Linked DNA regions of Macaca fascicularis. The protein of the gene in region 1 purifies or fractionates together with the protein of each later gene. This does not show direct contact. Links are inferred from orthologs where the notes say so. Each region holds a gene or a part of one and is shown on either strand. Other genes may lie near its edges.

Evidence for each region.
Region 2: the proteins of CSNK1A1 (region 1) and ZNF618 purify together in Homo sapiens (affinity purification with mass spectrometry; 3 studies listed by BioGRID and IntAct, counting the BioPlex papers as one, with this or other methods). This does not show direct contact. The link is inferred for Macaca fascicularis from reciprocal best matches to the Homo sapiens genes CSNK1A1 and ZNF618.
Region 3: the proteins of CSNK1A1 (region 1) and UNC45A purify together in Homo sapiens (affinity purification with mass spectrometry; 4 studies listed by BioGRID and IntAct, with this or other methods). This does not show direct contact. The link is inferred for Macaca fascicularis from reciprocal best matches to the Homo sapiens genes CSNK1A1 and UNC45A.
Region 4: the proteins of CSNK1A1 (region 1) and SEC13 purify together in Homo sapiens (affinity purification with mass spectrometry; 4 studies listed by BioGRID and IntAct, with this or other methods). This does not show direct contact. The link is inferred for Macaca fascicularis from reciprocal best matches to the Homo sapiens genes CSNK1A1 and SEC13.

Annotation. Positions count from the first base shown.
Region 1 is NC_088380.1:156,431,311-156,435,463, forward strand, and holds the start of CSNK1A1 (casein kinase I), read right to left. Parts: upstream 2,807-4,153; 5' UTR 2,335-2,806; coding exon 2,212-2,334; intron 1,541-2,211; coding exon 1,434-1,540; intron 1-1,433.
Region 2 is NC_088389.1:44,232,707-44,236,698, forward strand, and holds the start of ZNF618 (zinc finger protein 618), read right to left. Parts: upstream 2,802-3,992; 5' UTR 2,694-2,801; coding exon 2,661-2,693; intron 1-2,660. UniProt on the Homo sapiens protein: Regulates UHRF2 function as a specific 5-hydroxymethylcytosine (5hmC) reader by regulating its chromatin localization.
Region 3 is NC_088381.1:75,486,984-75,490,931, forward strand, and holds the start of UNC45A (protein unc-45 homolog A), read left to right. Parts: upstream 1-1,147; 5' UTR 1,148-1,187; coding exon 1,188-1,238; intron 1,239-1,394; coding exon 1,395-1,556; intron 1,557-1,795; coding exon 1,796-1,832; intron 1,833-2,130; coding exon 2,131-2,306; intron 2,307-3,948.
Region 4 is NC_088376.1:148,634,703-148,638,703, forward strand, and holds the start of SEC13 (protein SEC13 homolog), read right to left. Parts: upstream 2,802-4,001; 5' UTR 2,742-2,801; coding exon of another isoform or gene 2,739-2,741; exon of another isoform or gene 2,368-2,738; 5' UTR 2,314-2,367; exon of another isoform or gene 2,215-2,313; intron 1,146-2,214; 5' UTR 1,109-1,145; coding exon 968-1,108; exon of another isoform or gene 71-967; intron 1-70. UniProt on the Homo sapiens protein: Functions as a component of the nuclear pore complex (NPC) and the COPII coat. At the endoplasmic reticulum, SEC13 is involved in the biogenesis of COPII-coated vesicles.

The DNA.
Region 1 (4,153 bases):
TCAGGGGTTCGAGTACAGCCTGGCCAACATGGTGAAACTAAAATACAAAAATTAGCTGGGTGTGGTGGCGGGCGCCTGTAATCCCAGCTACTCAGGAGGCTGAGGCACTAGAATCGCTTGAACCCAGGAGGCAGAGGTTGCAGTGAGCCAAGATCGTGCCATTCACTGCACTCCAGCCTGATCGACAAGAGCGAAAACTCAGTCTCAAAAAAAAAAAAAGAGAGTCTCCAGCAAACAGTAAACACCATTCTCACCTATTCTGAATATTTTTGCAAAAGGTATTTTAGATTGTTGCTGAAAAATAGCTTGGTTTTAAACTATATTTTAGTCTCCATTCCATGAAGAGGCTCTTTAATCCCAAAAGTTAAAACATTACTCTAAAACCCTCCAAAGTAAAGTTAACCATTTGACAGAACAATGTCTTTCTATCTCGTCATCTTTTATCCGCGTTACTGCAATTTGCACTCACCAATATTCCACACCAACAAAGGCCGCAATTTCTCTGATATTAAGATTTACTGCCAAACTCAACAGGTTAAAATTACTTATCAAAGTGTGGCTAAGTGATTAAGATTTCTTTTAATACAATTGATTTGAGTAAATTTTAACATAGTTGGTGCTGCTCAAACTGCCTTTGCCATTACCTATACAAATTTAGTCCCGACTGAAATGTGCCAAATATGACCATTCACGAAAGGAAAGAGTAATTAACACTTTTAAAAGAACCACAAAGGATTTTACATAGTATAATTCAACAATTTCATGTCACATCTGCTGCAGAGATCACAAACATTGTCACTATGCCATCTCCTTCCTCGAACCCCCACACCGCCTCCTGCAGCTTTATTCTTGGCTTTTCAAAGGTTTAATCCACTCGGGGCTGCTAAAGGAGGAATCAAGGAAGCATAATTTGTGAACCCAAGCTGAGAAAAGGGCAGGAATATGGGGTTGAGTCACGTCGTTCCGCCATTTTCTAAGCGGAGGAGGAAGACATGTTGGAACAAAAACACAACAAAAGAGCAGCCATTTCCCAAGCCAGCTCCAATAGCAACTCGAACTGACACCGCCGGGTCGCTTCAGCACCTTCAAATCCACTTCACTGGACAAACCTAAGAACATCAGACGTGCCGCCGTAAAAAAGGCAGCAGCCAACCCTTCCGCGTAGGGATCAAAGATGACCCGCACGCATAACTGCAAACGAAAGCCTCGGGAAGAGAATGACGGAAGCGAAATGGAGCAGTGTAATACAATGAAATAAGTTGGCAAATTGAAATTTACTCAGTGATTGCGATGACTTACAGGAAGGCACCAGCTACAAGGAACCCAGGTAACCAAAACAAGACCCGGATTCAGCTGGTCTCATTACCTGCCTCTACCCACTTCCCCATTCCGTGCTTCCCTCAGCGGATCGCCTACATGCACGGGGTTCTTACCGTATGTGGGGGATGCCAACCCCACCTTGAAGAATCTTATAGAGCTTGCTCTCGTACAGCAACTGGGGATGCCTGGCCTTCTGAGATTCTAGCTTCACTGCCACTTCCTGCAGGGGAAAGAGGGGATGATGGCATCAACATCCCTACGGATTCAGTGTCATTTAGGAAAGGAGAGAGACATTAGCAAAACTCCAAGTCGCGACTACAAGGAAGAAGTGAAAAGCTGGAAAGAGAAAGCTCTCTGTAATTATAAAACGAGGCAACCAGCCTCAAAGGCCTCTTCAGGGGGTAGTGACGAAATCGTACGTCCTCTAAAGTGCAGGAAAATGATTCATCCAGAAAAAAGAGGCAACCTCTGAACGTAGTGAGAGGTTTTTAAGGAACTAGGCGATCGGAAACTGTTCTAATTGGAACAAGAGGCCCAGCAGGATTAAAAATTAAATAAAAGAAAAGAAAAGCAAAGCATGGGAATCACAGAAAGAGGATTTTGCCGTTTCCACCTTAAAAGTCGGTTAAAAAAAAAACAGCTCGACCAAGGGACATTTATGGGAAGTGTTTAACAAGCTGGGAAACTAGTTCCCCCACCCTTTTCTATCGGGTTCTTGACCCTTTTAGGGAGAGAGCGGGCGAGGATCGCAAGCCAGGAAAACTAGCTCCCTGGACTCCCTGGCGAGTGCGTGCGGTGAGGAGAGGCCCGAGCACTTTGGGGGTGCGCGGTGGTGGTGGGGGGAATGAGGAAAAGCGCAGCGTTATCGTGAACCCCACCCCAGGTGATTACCTCGCCGTTGGTGATGTTGATCGCCAGATAGATGTCCCCGAAGGAGCCAGACCCGATCTTCCGTACCAGTTTATATTTCCCTCCGACAATGAATTCGGCCTTAGAGCCGCTGCTACTCGCCATCCTGAGAGACGAAGATGGAGTCTGGGGCCAAGCCCCGACACCTCTGGGAAGACGACGGAGGCCTCTGGGGCTCCTACACTGGGCAAGGCTACGGAGGAAGGCGGCAGGAAACAGAACACGGAGGCCTTTACCGGCGTTCGGGGCCCAGAATCAGCCGAGGGGAACCTGATCACCGCCGCTCAGTCAGGTTTCTTTTTGCCAGGCCGCAGTTTGTGAAGGGCTTCTCGCGGTTACCAGGCTGGGCCACTTGTTTCTCGGCGGCCGCCGCTGCCTCGCTTGCGCGGCGACGTCGCGGGCTGGAAAAGGGGCGCGGTGAGCTAGGGCGGCGATACAGCTACCACCACTGCCGCCGGCTCCGGCCCTGAGGGACCCCTGTCACTCCGCCGACGCCGCCATCTTGTTACTCCAGCTCCAGCCAACACAAAATGCCCCCAGTCCCCGGGAGCCGCTTCTTCACGGCGCAGAGCACTCTGGGAAAGGGATCTGGGGCGCTCGCTCCGAAGGATCGGCAGCTAGAGGGCGGAACCGGATCCGTGAGAGTCGCGGCCCACGCTCCGAGCGTCACCCTGTCACCGCCCAGTAGCGCATGAGCGCTGCAACTCCTGCTGACTGCGCAGGCGTGCCGCGGCCTGCCTCACCCCGCCCCGGGCTTTCTTCCACTTCCGGTCGGCGGCGGCTCAGCCGGTGTTACCTGTTACTCGCCTCGGACCCGCAGGGTCTCTGGAAGGCTGAGTGGCCCCAGGCCTCGATGTTGGGAGGAGTCACCTTCATGTTTCGTGTCAGGCCTCCTTAGGAGTTGGGTATTGACCTTTGCTCTTTGAGGCGGTTTTTAACCTTTGATCTTTCTTCTGGCCGCTCCCCAGGACCGGCCTATTCCAACCCAGTTTCTGTTTGGAAAGAGGCTATCGCCTCTGGTGGAGAGGAAGAGAAAAGCAGCCCGCGTTGAGGAATCGTTCAGGGCTCTCGGTTATAGCAAAACCTAGCTAATTACCCTTCATAATTAGAATTTTCTTCTCTACTACGGAGTGTTATAGACCCTCTTTCCACAGGAGGGGAAAAAAGAAAGAAGCCGGAATCCCCCTGCCGTCCTACGTCTTTGCATTATTGCCTCACTACCACTTTTGATCTTCAGAAGAAAACCCAGTATCTTGTTCATAGTGAAGATTAGGGATAGATGGAATCAACAGAAAATTAATTTAACAAGAGTGAAAAAACTGTTATGCCCCCCAACCCCACCAAAACAACAACAAAGAATCGTATGTTGGTCATGTTGAAAACCGCAGTATTAACCTGAACAGAGTAGAGGTAACTATTACAAAATTTAATTGACAACATTTAAAGCTACACGGAAATTTTTTTCTTTTTTACTAAAAATCGATCAGAGAATCAAATCTTGACCACGTTTTGTATTACAAAATTTGACCTGGGAAAATTGGGTTGAGTAATAGTAATGTTCACAAAAGAAAGCTCCATGGTTTATGCTATCATCTTAAGTCAGACCTCAGTCGTAAACATTTAAGCTAAGCCTATCTTAAATAAAATTTAATTAAAATAGAAATGAGGGCTGGGCGCAGTGGCTCACGCCTGTAATCCCACCACTTTGGGAGGCCGGGGCGGGCAGATGACTTGAGGTCAGTTGTTCGAGACCAGCCTGGCCAACATGGCGAAACCCCGTATCTACTAAAAATACAAAAATTAGCTGGGTGTGATGACGTACACTTGTAACCCCAGCTACTCGGAAGCGGAGGTTGCGGTGAGACTAGATCACGCTACTGCACTCCAGCCTGGGCAACAGAGAGACCCTCTCTCAAAAAAATAA
Region 2 (3,992 bases), on another chromosome or scaffold:
ACAGAAAAAAAATTTTTTTAATTATGCTGCCTAAAAAAAAAAAAAAAAAAAAAAAAAAAAAAGCTCATTCCAAATATGTCAGAATGTGACCAGTCAGCCCTGAAGGATTTCGTTACTAAAAAAATAAAATCTCCCAAATGCAATGGCGATGATGGGAAATGTCAAACCTCTGCCATTGTCAAATATATTTCACAGAGATAATATATTTGACTTATTCCACTTAAACATCCAAATTTCCACAAAATCGGGTTGGGAATCTATGGACTGGGGCCACCAGTTTTTCCAAGACCAGCTAGTGGCTGGCAAAAGGGGCAAACGGTTTCCTTTCTTGCCCCAGGTGACCCATCACCAATTTCCAAGCCAAGGTCCCTCCAAGATCCCACCCTGCAAGTCCTAACAATATGCTCTTTTTGGACAGAAACATTATAACTTTTGGGGGGTAGGCTCAAAATCCCCAGCAAGTTCAATCAGATACTAATTTATCACAAAACCCTTCATCGTTGGGTGGGTACTTTATTTTCATCTGTCAAATTTCAATTCAGTCAATATTTATTTGCCTTCTTAAATTTTTTTTTTTTTGTTTCACCTTCATTTGATTCATTTTAAGGCCAAAACCTCCTCATGAAATATTGTTTGCATATATGCTTTCATATTCCAAAGGCAAACCTTGGGTTTGGCTTTTGTTTGTATTTTGATTATTTTTCCTTTATTTTGTTGCTGCTAAAATCAGCTGAGTTGGTGTTTTATCACATTTCTTCAGCAAAGTAAGTGTTCTACCAAGGAAGATAGATAAGAATTAGAATTTTCATCTCCTTTTTGCCCATCCCTCTTTTATCTTTTTCTTGTTAAGTCAGTAAAATTTGTGCTTTTTTTTTGGTCACAAACTCCCCAAAATGATTAAGGCTAATGGATTTTTTTCCCCCTTTGAAAGTAATCAGGTTTCTGAAAAATAACAAATATTGATAAACTACCAACCTCACATCACAGTCAAAGAGGCCTGAAACCAATCTAAATTTTTTTTTAAGTAATAAATTTTTCAAATTGGAAGAGTGAACAAGACAGAAAAGGGAAAATTTTCTTCCTTACCAAGGATTCCTCAATCCTTGTCTTCATCAATTGATTTAGTTGCATGTCATAAAAAATGAGCTTCTGTGAATCCACTGTTAGTTTTTTCATAATAATGTTAATTATGCATATCTTATTTTAATGGCGGTCTCTCCTACAAATCTGTGGGTTACTCAATTTGTATAATGTATGAATTTACATTTTTTCCACTGAATATTGCTCAAAAAAGGTCCCTGACATTTTCTGGATAAAACAACAACAAAAAAGAAATGCCTAGACCTTTCAGGAAACAAAATCAGAAAACAGTCTTAATTATTCCATCAAAACAAAACAAAAAAAATACCCACACACAAAACCCAACAAATAGAGAAAAAAAGAAAGAAAGGATTTCACTGTAACTTTTTCCGTTTCTGTTTTCTTTAGAATCTTAGGATTTAAATGCAGTAAAATGTAAATGCAAAATTAAAAAAAAAAAACAACTACAATTTTTGGGTGTGTCCAAAGCCAACATTTTAGGGTCTATTTTCTCTTTTAAATCCTTCCTTCGTGGAAATAGAAAAACTTTAAATATTGCCAAATAGAGAAATTAGTCTTTTTTTGCCCGCTGAGCTAAATAAGTTCCAAATTACAATGAAGTACAATTTCTAATTGCTTCATAAAGCCAATTCTCTCAGTTTTCCCTAAACTCAACAATTTCCCTCCTTTCTTTATTCCAATTAGTTTTTTTCTCAAACTAAAATGAGTTGGGCACCCAAACTGACTTTGCTTTTAGGAGATTTTTTGCTTTCTCCCCTCCAAGAACTGAATTCATTCAAATTCCAGCTTAATTTTCATTTACATATTATCTGGATTTGGCTTCAGAAATAAAAATTGTCTCCATGCTTCTGGAAAGATCAAAGTGAAAATTTTCACCCGAAAAAAGAAAAAAAAAGAATCTCTTACCCCTCCACTGCCTGGTAGTGCAAACTTTTGAAAAAATAAGAAATAAAAAATATTTCTTTTCAATTTTAATTTCTTTTTTTATTTACAAAATAGTATCCTCTAGGTGGCGTCGTTTTAATGGGAAAAAACTACCGTTTGAAGAAAAATTAGAAAAAAAAAATTGAGAAAGGAAAATATGGCCTAAAAAAAAAAAAGATTGTTGCAAAAATGGGGGATCTGGGGGGAAACACCTCCCGGGGGGTCATCGGGGACCCCGAGCGCAGAGAGGGTCAGGGGAAAATTGCAAATTTGGGGGGGAGGGGGCAGAGCTGGAAGGGGTTGCATTTTTGCAAAATGTGAATTGTCCAAACTGAAATGGCTGCTCTGTTCTCTCGCCGCTTTGTTTTCTGGGCTCCGGTCCGAGCCCGGGGCCGGAGGGGGCGCTGGGTGGGGGCCCCAAAAGACCCCCTCGTCACCCCCAACCTCCTCGCACCCCGCAGCGCCCGGGGGGGTGCTCTCCGGACCCCGACTCTCCCGTTTGCGCCCACAAAAAGCTCGCAAACGTGCCCAGGCACTTTGCATTTTGCAAATCTTGCAATGAAGTGGCGCAGCGCCCCGGGCCCCGGCCCCCCGGGGTCCCCCGCGCGGTGCATGCCCCCGGCCCCCCGTCGTACCTGCGGAGCCGCCGCGCCGCCCGGCTGGTTCATGGGTCCGTGCGGGAGGAGGCGGCCCCGGCGCGTCCTGCTCCTCCCGGGCCGGGCTGCTGGTGCGCGCACAATGCCGCCGCCGCCGCCGCCACCGCCGCCGCCGCCGCCGCTCCCTCCTCCGCCCGCCCCGCTCAGGCCGGGGGGGCGGGGGCGCTGGGGGCGCGCGGGGGGGGCGCCGGCCCTCGCCCCCACCGCCGGCCTGCACCGGCCGCGCCGCGGCAGCCGCTGCCGCCGAGCCGCCCCTCGCGGGGCCGCCGCCGCCCCCCGCCGCCCTGCCCGCCCCCGGGCCGGCCTCGCCGTGCGGCCCGCGAGCTCGGGGCCTCGGCCTCGGCCTCCGCGCTGCCGGCCTCCGCGCGGCACACAAAGCCGGCCGGTCCAGGGGCGCGCCCGCCCTCCCGTCCGCCAGCCCCAGGGCAGTGGCGCACCCGCCCCCCAAACTTTCCCGCGCCGCGCCCTGCCCTCCCCGCGCCCCCGCGCCCGCCCCCCGTCTCCCTCCTGCCCTCCCCCAGTCCTCCAGCCCCTCGGAAATGTCATTTTCACACTGGAAAAAAGTTCGGGGAGCCGGCGGAACGCAAGAGGTTAATGGGAATTCAGTACCCTGCTGTACCCCCCCCCAAAAAAAAAAACAGATTGATTTTTGAAATAAAAGTTTTCAAGAGCTGGCTTGCTGAAAGACTGGAAGGCTTACCGGGAATATTCTATTGCCCTGCCACTCCTCCCCAAAAAACTAATGTAATAAAATAAAAGTTTGAAGGACTGGTCCCATGTCAGACAAGAGGGGTTAAGAGGAGTCTAGCCCCCTAGCCAGACTGATTTTTAAAATAAATATTTGAGGAGCCGCTTTTATGTGAAATGCCAGTGAAACGGCTGTTTCTGCCTATCCTCGCCAAATGAAAAAATATATGTGTGTATATATATATATATTTCCAAATAAAAGTTTGAAAAACTCCTCCTACAGTAAGACAAGAGGGGTTAAAGGTTAAGGGGTATTAGGCCCCCCCTCCCCCCCCCGCGCATATCCACCAGTCAGGTTGATTTAGAAAAGGAAAATTTGAAAAACTTCTATGTGAAATAAAATGTGAACCAGGAATTTTTTTTCCAACACCCCAAAAGAGTCAGGTTTTTTGTTGTTGTTGTTTTTTGTTTTTTTACTTGAGCAACTGCCTCCTTGTGACTTGGGAAAGTTTAAAAGAGATTTTTTTTTTTTCTGTTCTCTTCCCCATTCTCCTAAAAAATCAGATTTTTTAAAAACTGAGCGTGTGAAGGACCTGTCCTATTAAAGAGACAAGGGGGGATTGC
Region 3 (3,948 bases), on another chromosome or scaffold:
TCTCTCAGGTACAGCACTTACCCCTGTGGCCCACCTGCCTATCGTGCTATGGGCTATTCCTGGGAACTGGAACTGATGGGGATGAATGGAAGGGCGCCTGCTCTTCCGGTAGGGGCTGATCTCTTTTACTCTCCAGTAGGGGTGGAGTGGGCTGTGGAAAGATCCCTCCTGCTTATTTCTAGCCCCCCAACCTCTCTCTTCAGCTGTGGTCCACCACCCTCACTTGTGCCAGACCACCCGGGATGTCAATGGCCACCACTACCCTGGTTTCTTTTGCCCTCGTCTCTCTGATTCTCCAGAGGAAGCCTACTGCTGCCACCTGCAGGCTGCAGGGGGCTCCTGCTGCACCCGGGCTGAATTTGAGGCCCTGTACCAAGTCAACCTGTCCGCTCTTCCGCCCCCGCCCATCCTCAGGTGAGATCTCCAACCCCGGAGCCACTGGAACATCGTCAGGGTGTTCCAATATCTGGGGCTCTGTTCCTAAATTATGGGGTGGGAGGCTTGTAACTTACAGACTAGTGAAGGGACAGACCGCAACAGAAAATCATGTAGATCATGATTACAATTACAAGGGAGAAGTTCAGGGGGCTGTGCAAGCGGGTAATAGGGAGCCATACTGAATCTGCCCATGGGTGGCTCTAGGATGAGCTCCTAAATTCGTATGCAAATGTGTGTATGTAAGACTACACTTATTTGGGGATGGAGTCCCGAGCTTTCTCCGGACTCCCAGGGGTTCTGTACTCCCACAGAGCGCAGCAGCCAGAGCGCGGCCAGGGCCGGGATCCAGATACTTTTTTCTCTCCCGCAGGGGCCCAGGACAACTCCTAGTGCTGGGCCTCTACAGCCTACTGGTTGTGACCCTGATGACCGCAGACCTTGTGCACTTCTGCTGCGATCGGGGCCGGGGTCGGGGCTGGAGCCACCGCAGGCCTCCCTCCGGGTCCTCCGCCGTGAACTCCTGCAGGTCTCCGCGGGGACAGCTTAGGCGCGCCCGGAGCTTGCCTGCACCTGCGATCCAGAGTCGAGTGCCCCGCCCCTGCCCGGGCGCGCTAACTCTTTAGCCCTGCCCCTCTCTGACTCCACCTCCGACGCAAGAGTGGGGCGGGGCAGCTCCCGGCAGCGTCCGGAGCCAGACTCGTCCCGCCCCAGAGACTGCGCCTGCGCGGGCACGGGACAACCTCTCCGCGATGACTGTGAGTGGTCCAGGGACCCCCGAGCCCCGGCCGGCCACCTCCGGGGTGCGTACCCAATCCCCGCGCCATCACCCCTTCGCACCCGCCCTGACCATCCCAGGCCTCCTTCTCCCCATCCATGAGGCTCGTGCCTATCCCTCCTCTTCTCCAGGGCTCTGCCCCGAACCCCCTCCGACGTTTCCGCCCCCTTTCTCTCTACAGGCCAGCTCAGTGGAGCAGCTGCGGAAAGAGGGCAACGAGCTGTTCAAATGTGGAGACTACGAGGGCGCCCTGGGGGCCTACACTCAGGCCCTGGGTCTGGACGCGACGCCCCAGGACCAGGCCATTCTGCACCGGAACCGGGCCGCCTGCCACCTCAAGCTGGTGAGGGAGCCTGGCGCTCTTCCCCTTGCCTGCCGGGCCCCGGTTCGCCCATCTCAGCTGATGCTTGGGCCCCAGCTGGGAATTCAAGCTCCCAGGCCATCCCCGCTTGCCAGATGTCTTTTGCACCTCAGCGTGAAGGGGGATCGGGTGACCTTGGACAGCGAGAGTACCCCTGCTGCCTGGTTAGTGCCCCGAAAGGGAGATGACCATTCTTTCAGGCTGCTGTCTTTCTCTTACAGGAAGATTACGACAAAGCAGAAACAGAGGCATCCAAAGGTAGGGGAATGGTGGACCCTCGTGTGGAGCTGTAGGGCTTCTGTGGTGGGCAAGGACTCTGGGACCGCTGCACCATCACATTCTCCTCCTTTGGCCCCAGAGACACATCTGCCTTCTTTCTTTCCCACTGCCTCGGGCCTTTCCTTTTCTGCAGCTACCCTCACCTTTTCTGAGGCTGAAGCACCGAGCCCCACATTCGTCCCCCTACCTTCTGGCCTTTCCTCGAGATCTTTCCCTACTGCTCTTGCCTGGAGATGGTGGCCTCATGGGTGCTGACAGCGCTCCTGTTTGTGCTCAGCCATTGAAAAGGATGGTGGGGATGTCAAAGCACTCTACCGGCGGAGCCAAGCCCTAGAGAAGCTGGGCCGCCTCGACCAGGCTGTCCTTGACCTGCAGAGATGTGTGAGTTTGGAGCCCAAGAACAAAGTTTTCCAGGAGGCCTTGCGGAACATCGGGGGCCAGATTCAGGAGAAGGTATGTGAGTGACCCAGAGAGGTGGAAGCTTGACTGGTGGTGGTGAAGGGATCTGGGCCAGGGGTGCAGACACAGTTCTCCAGACAAGAGATACTGATGGCAAGTGAACATATAGAATTCTGGTTAACCTTGCCTGTGGCCAGGGAAAAGCAAATTAAGATGACAGCGTGTTACTGTTGATTTGGAGGTCTGTTTGGCAGACATTTAAAAGTTTGTATACTTTTCAAGAAGGAGAGAGGCAGACACATCAGTGGTGAGGCTGGTACAGCTCTTTTGGAGAGTACTTTAGCATATCAAATTTGAAATGAGCGTATCTTTTGATCCCATATGTTTACTTCTTGCTGTTTCTCTCACAGAAACCTTGCCCACATGCACAAGTAGACATGTGTATGTTTATTTCAGCCTTTTTTGTAGTAAAAGCTTGGAACTTGCCTCAATGCCCAGCCATAGAGGAATGGCTGAATAAATTGGGTAATGTCCTTACTAGAGACTCTTACATAGTTACTGAGAATGGGTAGATACACACATATTGAAATGGAAAGCTCTGGGACACTTGTTGAATAAACAAAGCAAAATAGGCAGGGCATGCTGTCTCATGCCTGTAATCCCAGTGCTTTGGGAGGCCAAGACGGGACGATCACTTGAGGCTAGGAGTTTGACACCAGCCTGGGCAGCATAGTGAGACCCTGTTGCTACCAAAACTTAAAAAGTTAGCTGGGTGTGTTGGCACACCCTTGTAGTCCCAGCTACTTGTGAGGCTGAGGCAGGAGAATCCTTTGAGCCCTGGATTTTGCAGTTACAGTGAGCTATGATTGTGTCACTGCACTCCAGCCTGGATGACAGAGTGAGGCCCTGTCTCTTTTGAAAAAGAAAAGAAGAAAAATATATGATAACACATATAGTATTATATCATTTATGTTAATGATCCCCTGCATAGCAAAATAATGCTATATTTTTTCTGTGGGTACACTTGGGTATATAAATACAAAGGAAAATATTTAATTTAATTTATTTATGTATTTATTTATTTATTTTTTGAAACAGAGTCTTGCTGTGTTGCCCAGGCTGGAGTGCAGTGGCGTGATCTCAGCTCACTGCAACCTCTGCCTCCCAGGTTCAAGCAATTCTCCTGCCTCAGCCCCCCAAGTAGCTGGGACTGGGACTACAGGGGCGTGCCACCACGCCCAGCTAAGTTTTTGTACTTTTAATAGAGACAAGGTTTCACTGTGTTGGCCAGGATGGTCTGGAGCCCCTGACCTCGTGATCTGCCCACCTCGGCCTCCCAAAGTGCTGGGATTACAGGTGTGAGCCACTGCACCCAGCTGAAAATATTTTATTTTTAAAATTTATTTTTATTTTTATTTTTTTGTTTATGTATTTTGAGACAGGGTCTCACTCTGTCACCCATGCTGGAGTACAACCTCTGCCTCCCAGGCTCAAGCGATCCTCCCACCTCAGCCTCCCAAGTAGCTGGGACAATGCGTGTCACCACGCTCGCCTAATTTTTATATTTTTGGTAGAGACAGGGTTTTACTGTGTTGCCCAGGTAGCTGGTCTTGAGCTCCTGGGCTCAAGGGATCTACCCACCTCAGCCTCCCAACTTGCTGGGATTATAGGTGTGAGCCATGGCACCGGGCCAAAT
Region 4 (4,001 bases), on another chromosome or scaffold:
CCATCTCAACGAACGACTGCATTCGTTCGTTCATTCATTCATTCACTCAGTAAGCATTCATTCTAAGTACCTTCTTTTTGCCAAGCACTGTGCCAGGAACTAGATACACAAAGAGGAACTTTTGCCCTTGAGAAGCTCACGAATAATGCTAGTGTGGCAAGATAAATTCTGTAATGGTGGTTTGAGTGTCCCATAGGAGCCTGAGGGGTGGGGTGGTAGACATGAATTGAGCCTTAGATGATGGGTAGGAATTTGCAGGTGGCACAGGAGAAAATACCAGTCCAAGCAGCCAAGCAGAGGGAATACATGAGGAGAGACAAAGAGGTCTGAGAGCCTGATGTGTGTGGGGAAATGGCAAGCAGTCCTGGCTACTCTTAAGGGTGAGGAGAGACCACAAGGGAGCTACAGCTGGTGTTCCTTTCCTGGATGACAGAGCCTCTGATGTTCCAGGCAGTTTATGCCTAACAAAGTCATTACTTCAGACTGGGAGACTTGATTAGAGTTTTTCCTGAGGCTGCTCCCTGGTCCATCACCTAGTGGGATCCAGGATTGAACAGTTTGTAGGGCTGGAACATGGTGTCATGGTCATCACCCTCCTCTCCATTCTCTGAAGTCCAGCTCAAAAAGGGCCACCCATCACCTTTCTTGATTCTCAGATCCTCAAATGGCTGGACTCTCTTGCACATCTTCAGCACTGACCACAAACAACATTTTATGCTGTTTCTTCTCCCCACTAGAAGGTGAGCTCCTTGGATCCACAGTCTGAGCCATCTGCAGTTTCAAATCCCCTCAAATCATCCAGCACAGTGCTTTGCAAATAGAAGGAACTCAGTGACTATTTGCTGAATGAATAAGTAAATGAACAAAAGGTGTTTTTTTTTTCTTTGCTCAACCACTATTCTCTTAAATTCTTGGGACAGAAAAGAAGACTTAAAAGAAGTTTCATTGTGGAACAGACATTTCTTACCATTTTCCCCATTTCATCTTTTCCAGCACAAGCCCTGTAGGTATAAAGTTTGACTTGTGTTTTCAGAAAGGCAGACACTGGAAGAGGATGGCTGCAAAGCAGTTCAAGAGGTACACACCAAGTAAGCACAGGTTCTCTCATCAAATTCTAGACTCTCTAAAAAACAGGTCCCCGAAGTCTGCAAAGGCAAGTAAGGACAATAAGGAGTTTCCTCCATGTGCCAAGCTGTATAGGTTACAAAGTGCACGGGAAGGCGGGGAGGGCAGGGTACCAAGGGCAGAGTCAATCAGAGACCTACAACAGACTAAGGAACTGAAGAAGCCCAGAGAAGAGAAAGCACTTGCCAAAGTCACAGAGCTAGGTAAAGGCAGAACTGGGAAAAGAGCCCCATTCTCTAACCTTCTAACTCCCAGTCCACAAAACTTCACTCCACCAGGCTGCCTGTCTAAAATGTAAAGCAGTTGTTACACTGAGTTCTGTAAAGCTGAGGATAAGTAGGTTCAGGAAGAAAGTTTACTGAGAAGTAGTTTCAGCCGTGTTACCAAAGGACCTTAGAAATAATCAACATTTAATTCTAACCACTCTCACCCACCAGTCACGGTTGATGAACCATGCTTCTGAATGAGACAGAGAGGCGGGGGGGGAGGAAAGAAGGAGGGGGAGAGAAAAGGAGGGAAGGAGGGAGGAAGGAGGCAGGAAGGGGGAGGGGGGAGAGGGAGAGAGAGGGAGAGGGTAGTGGGGGGAGAGGGGGGAGAGAGAGAGAACTAACTTCTTAGAGTACTTCTTCCCAGGGACCTGGTGTTATCTGGTCCCTGTTAACACCTGTACTCAAAATAATTCACCTCTTTGAAATCAGATAATGAGTTAAAAATTCATTTAGGATGAGCTCAATGTCAGAGCATAAGAGCCTCAACTCTAACCTGCAGTGGAAGAGCCAGAGGTGAGTGATTTACACCTAACCCTCTGCAGAGCAAGAACACAGTGTTCTGATTTCTAGGTTCCTGCAGGTTCCCTCAAACCTGCTGCTGAGGCACACCCATGTTTCTAAAAGAATGCATGTACTAGATATGCCAGGCTCAGCCCGGATACTTCCATTCTTTAGTTCTCATTCAGTCATTCATTCACTCAAGGAGTAAGTGTGGAGTGAATGTACACTGCAGATGCCACAGAGACTTAAAAAACCCTGAGCCCCTGCCTTCGGAGGGTCGTTCAGGCCATCTTCACGTTTCCCGAGGTGCCCATCCTACCTGGGGGCCCTATCCCGAGCAACTGTCCAATCATCTCTGCTAGGGGATGTAGTAGGCGGCAGAAAGGAATGGTTAGAAGGGTTCAAATCTCGGCTCTACCACTTAAGCAGCTGTGCAAGAGGCTCCACGTCTCCGAACCTCAAGTGTCCTCATCTGTAAAGTGTTGAGAAGAATGGCACCTTCTTCACAAGCATGTTAGCAGGCTGAGATTACGAACAATGCTGAGGGCTCGGTATAGAGTAGCTCCTCTGCTGTTTCTCGTTTTGTATTCAATTGTTGGAAGAGAAGGAAGGAGGCTGGCAGGAGACGCGGCAGCGGCGCGCCCCGCAGAGTCAGGGAGGTTCTTTGGCTTCACCTCTGGACTCCGCTCGGAATGGTCCGCAAGGACGGGGCCAGAGCTCCCCAGATCTCTAAGCGGTGGGTGGAGGGGAGCTTAGGATTTGGGACTCAGCACGGCCGAGGAACCCGTGAGGGCTGCGACCGTGGCCTTCACCCTGCTCGGCCTCCTCAGTCCCAACACTCACCATGATTGTGGCGGTGGCTGCTCCGGGTCTCGGACGTGGCAGCTCCCGGCGGCGCCTCCGAATAGCTCACTTCCGGCGCCCGGCCCTCAAGCTGCCGGGCCGTGGCGTAGGAGCCTCCGGGCAGCAACGCGCTCGGCTCTCACAACAGTTCCGCGCCTTCCAAAGGGCGCGCCCCGCCTTCCCGAGGCCCAGCCCCTATCCTCTAGTGACGCCGAGACCAGAGGGCTGAGGCTCTGGTTGCCGCAGTGACCCTGACCAGGGGGGCTTTGGAATCTGAAGCTCTGGTGGGTCTACTCTCCCGACCAAGTCTGCCCTTTTCCTGAGATCCATAAACGAAAGGAAGGATTAATATAACTATCGGCCGGGCGCGGTGGCTCATGCCTGTAATCCTAGAACTTTGGGAGGCCGAGCTGGGGGCGGATCACCTAAGGTCAGGAGTTCGAGACCAGCCTGACCAACATGGTGAAATCCCGTCTCTACTAAAAATACAAAAATTAGCCGGGCATGGTGGCGCGCGCCTGTAGTCCCAGCTACTCGGGAGGCTGAGGCAGGAGAATCGCTGGAACCCGGGAGGCGGAGGTTGCAGTGAGCCATGACTGCACCGTTGCACTCCAGGCTGGGCGACAGAGCGAGACTCTTGTTAAAAAAAAAAAAAAAATCTATCTATCTACCTATCTATCTATCTATCTATCTACCTACCTACCTACCTACAGCTTCACCGCCTCTCTGCGGCTCTGGGTGAGACTGGCCTTATGATGAATGTTGTAGGATGAGTGATGTCTTGGGAGTAAGTAGACTGTCCTAGTGCTTCCTTGTTGTAGTCCCCCCATCAGGACCCAAGGACTGGGACCAGGGCAGAGGAGGCCAGGGAATGCCCCTCACCAGAGGCTGGGACCTCTCACCCTGCCATCCCTAACCCCTATATAGGACTGCCCCTTCCAAACCGATCCCCCGGGGTCCTGAGTAAGTCCCATCAGGGAGATTCCCCATAGGCAATGAAGGATCTCAGCCAGGCTCCTGCAGCTAGAGCCCTAGACCTAATTCCTAGCATCCCTGACCCCAGGTCTCTGGCTTCCCAAGGTAGGGCAGCTGAAGGTTCCCCACAAGCGCAGTGAGAATGCCACACTGGAGGACAGAGCCTGGGCCCCCCTCCCCCTCAGCCACGTATGGTCTAACCCTGGGGCCCTTGTGATATTAAGGAGGCAGGTGAGCTGGGGTAGGCCTTGACTCCCCTTGGGTAACTCACAGTCCTTCAGTTTCCTC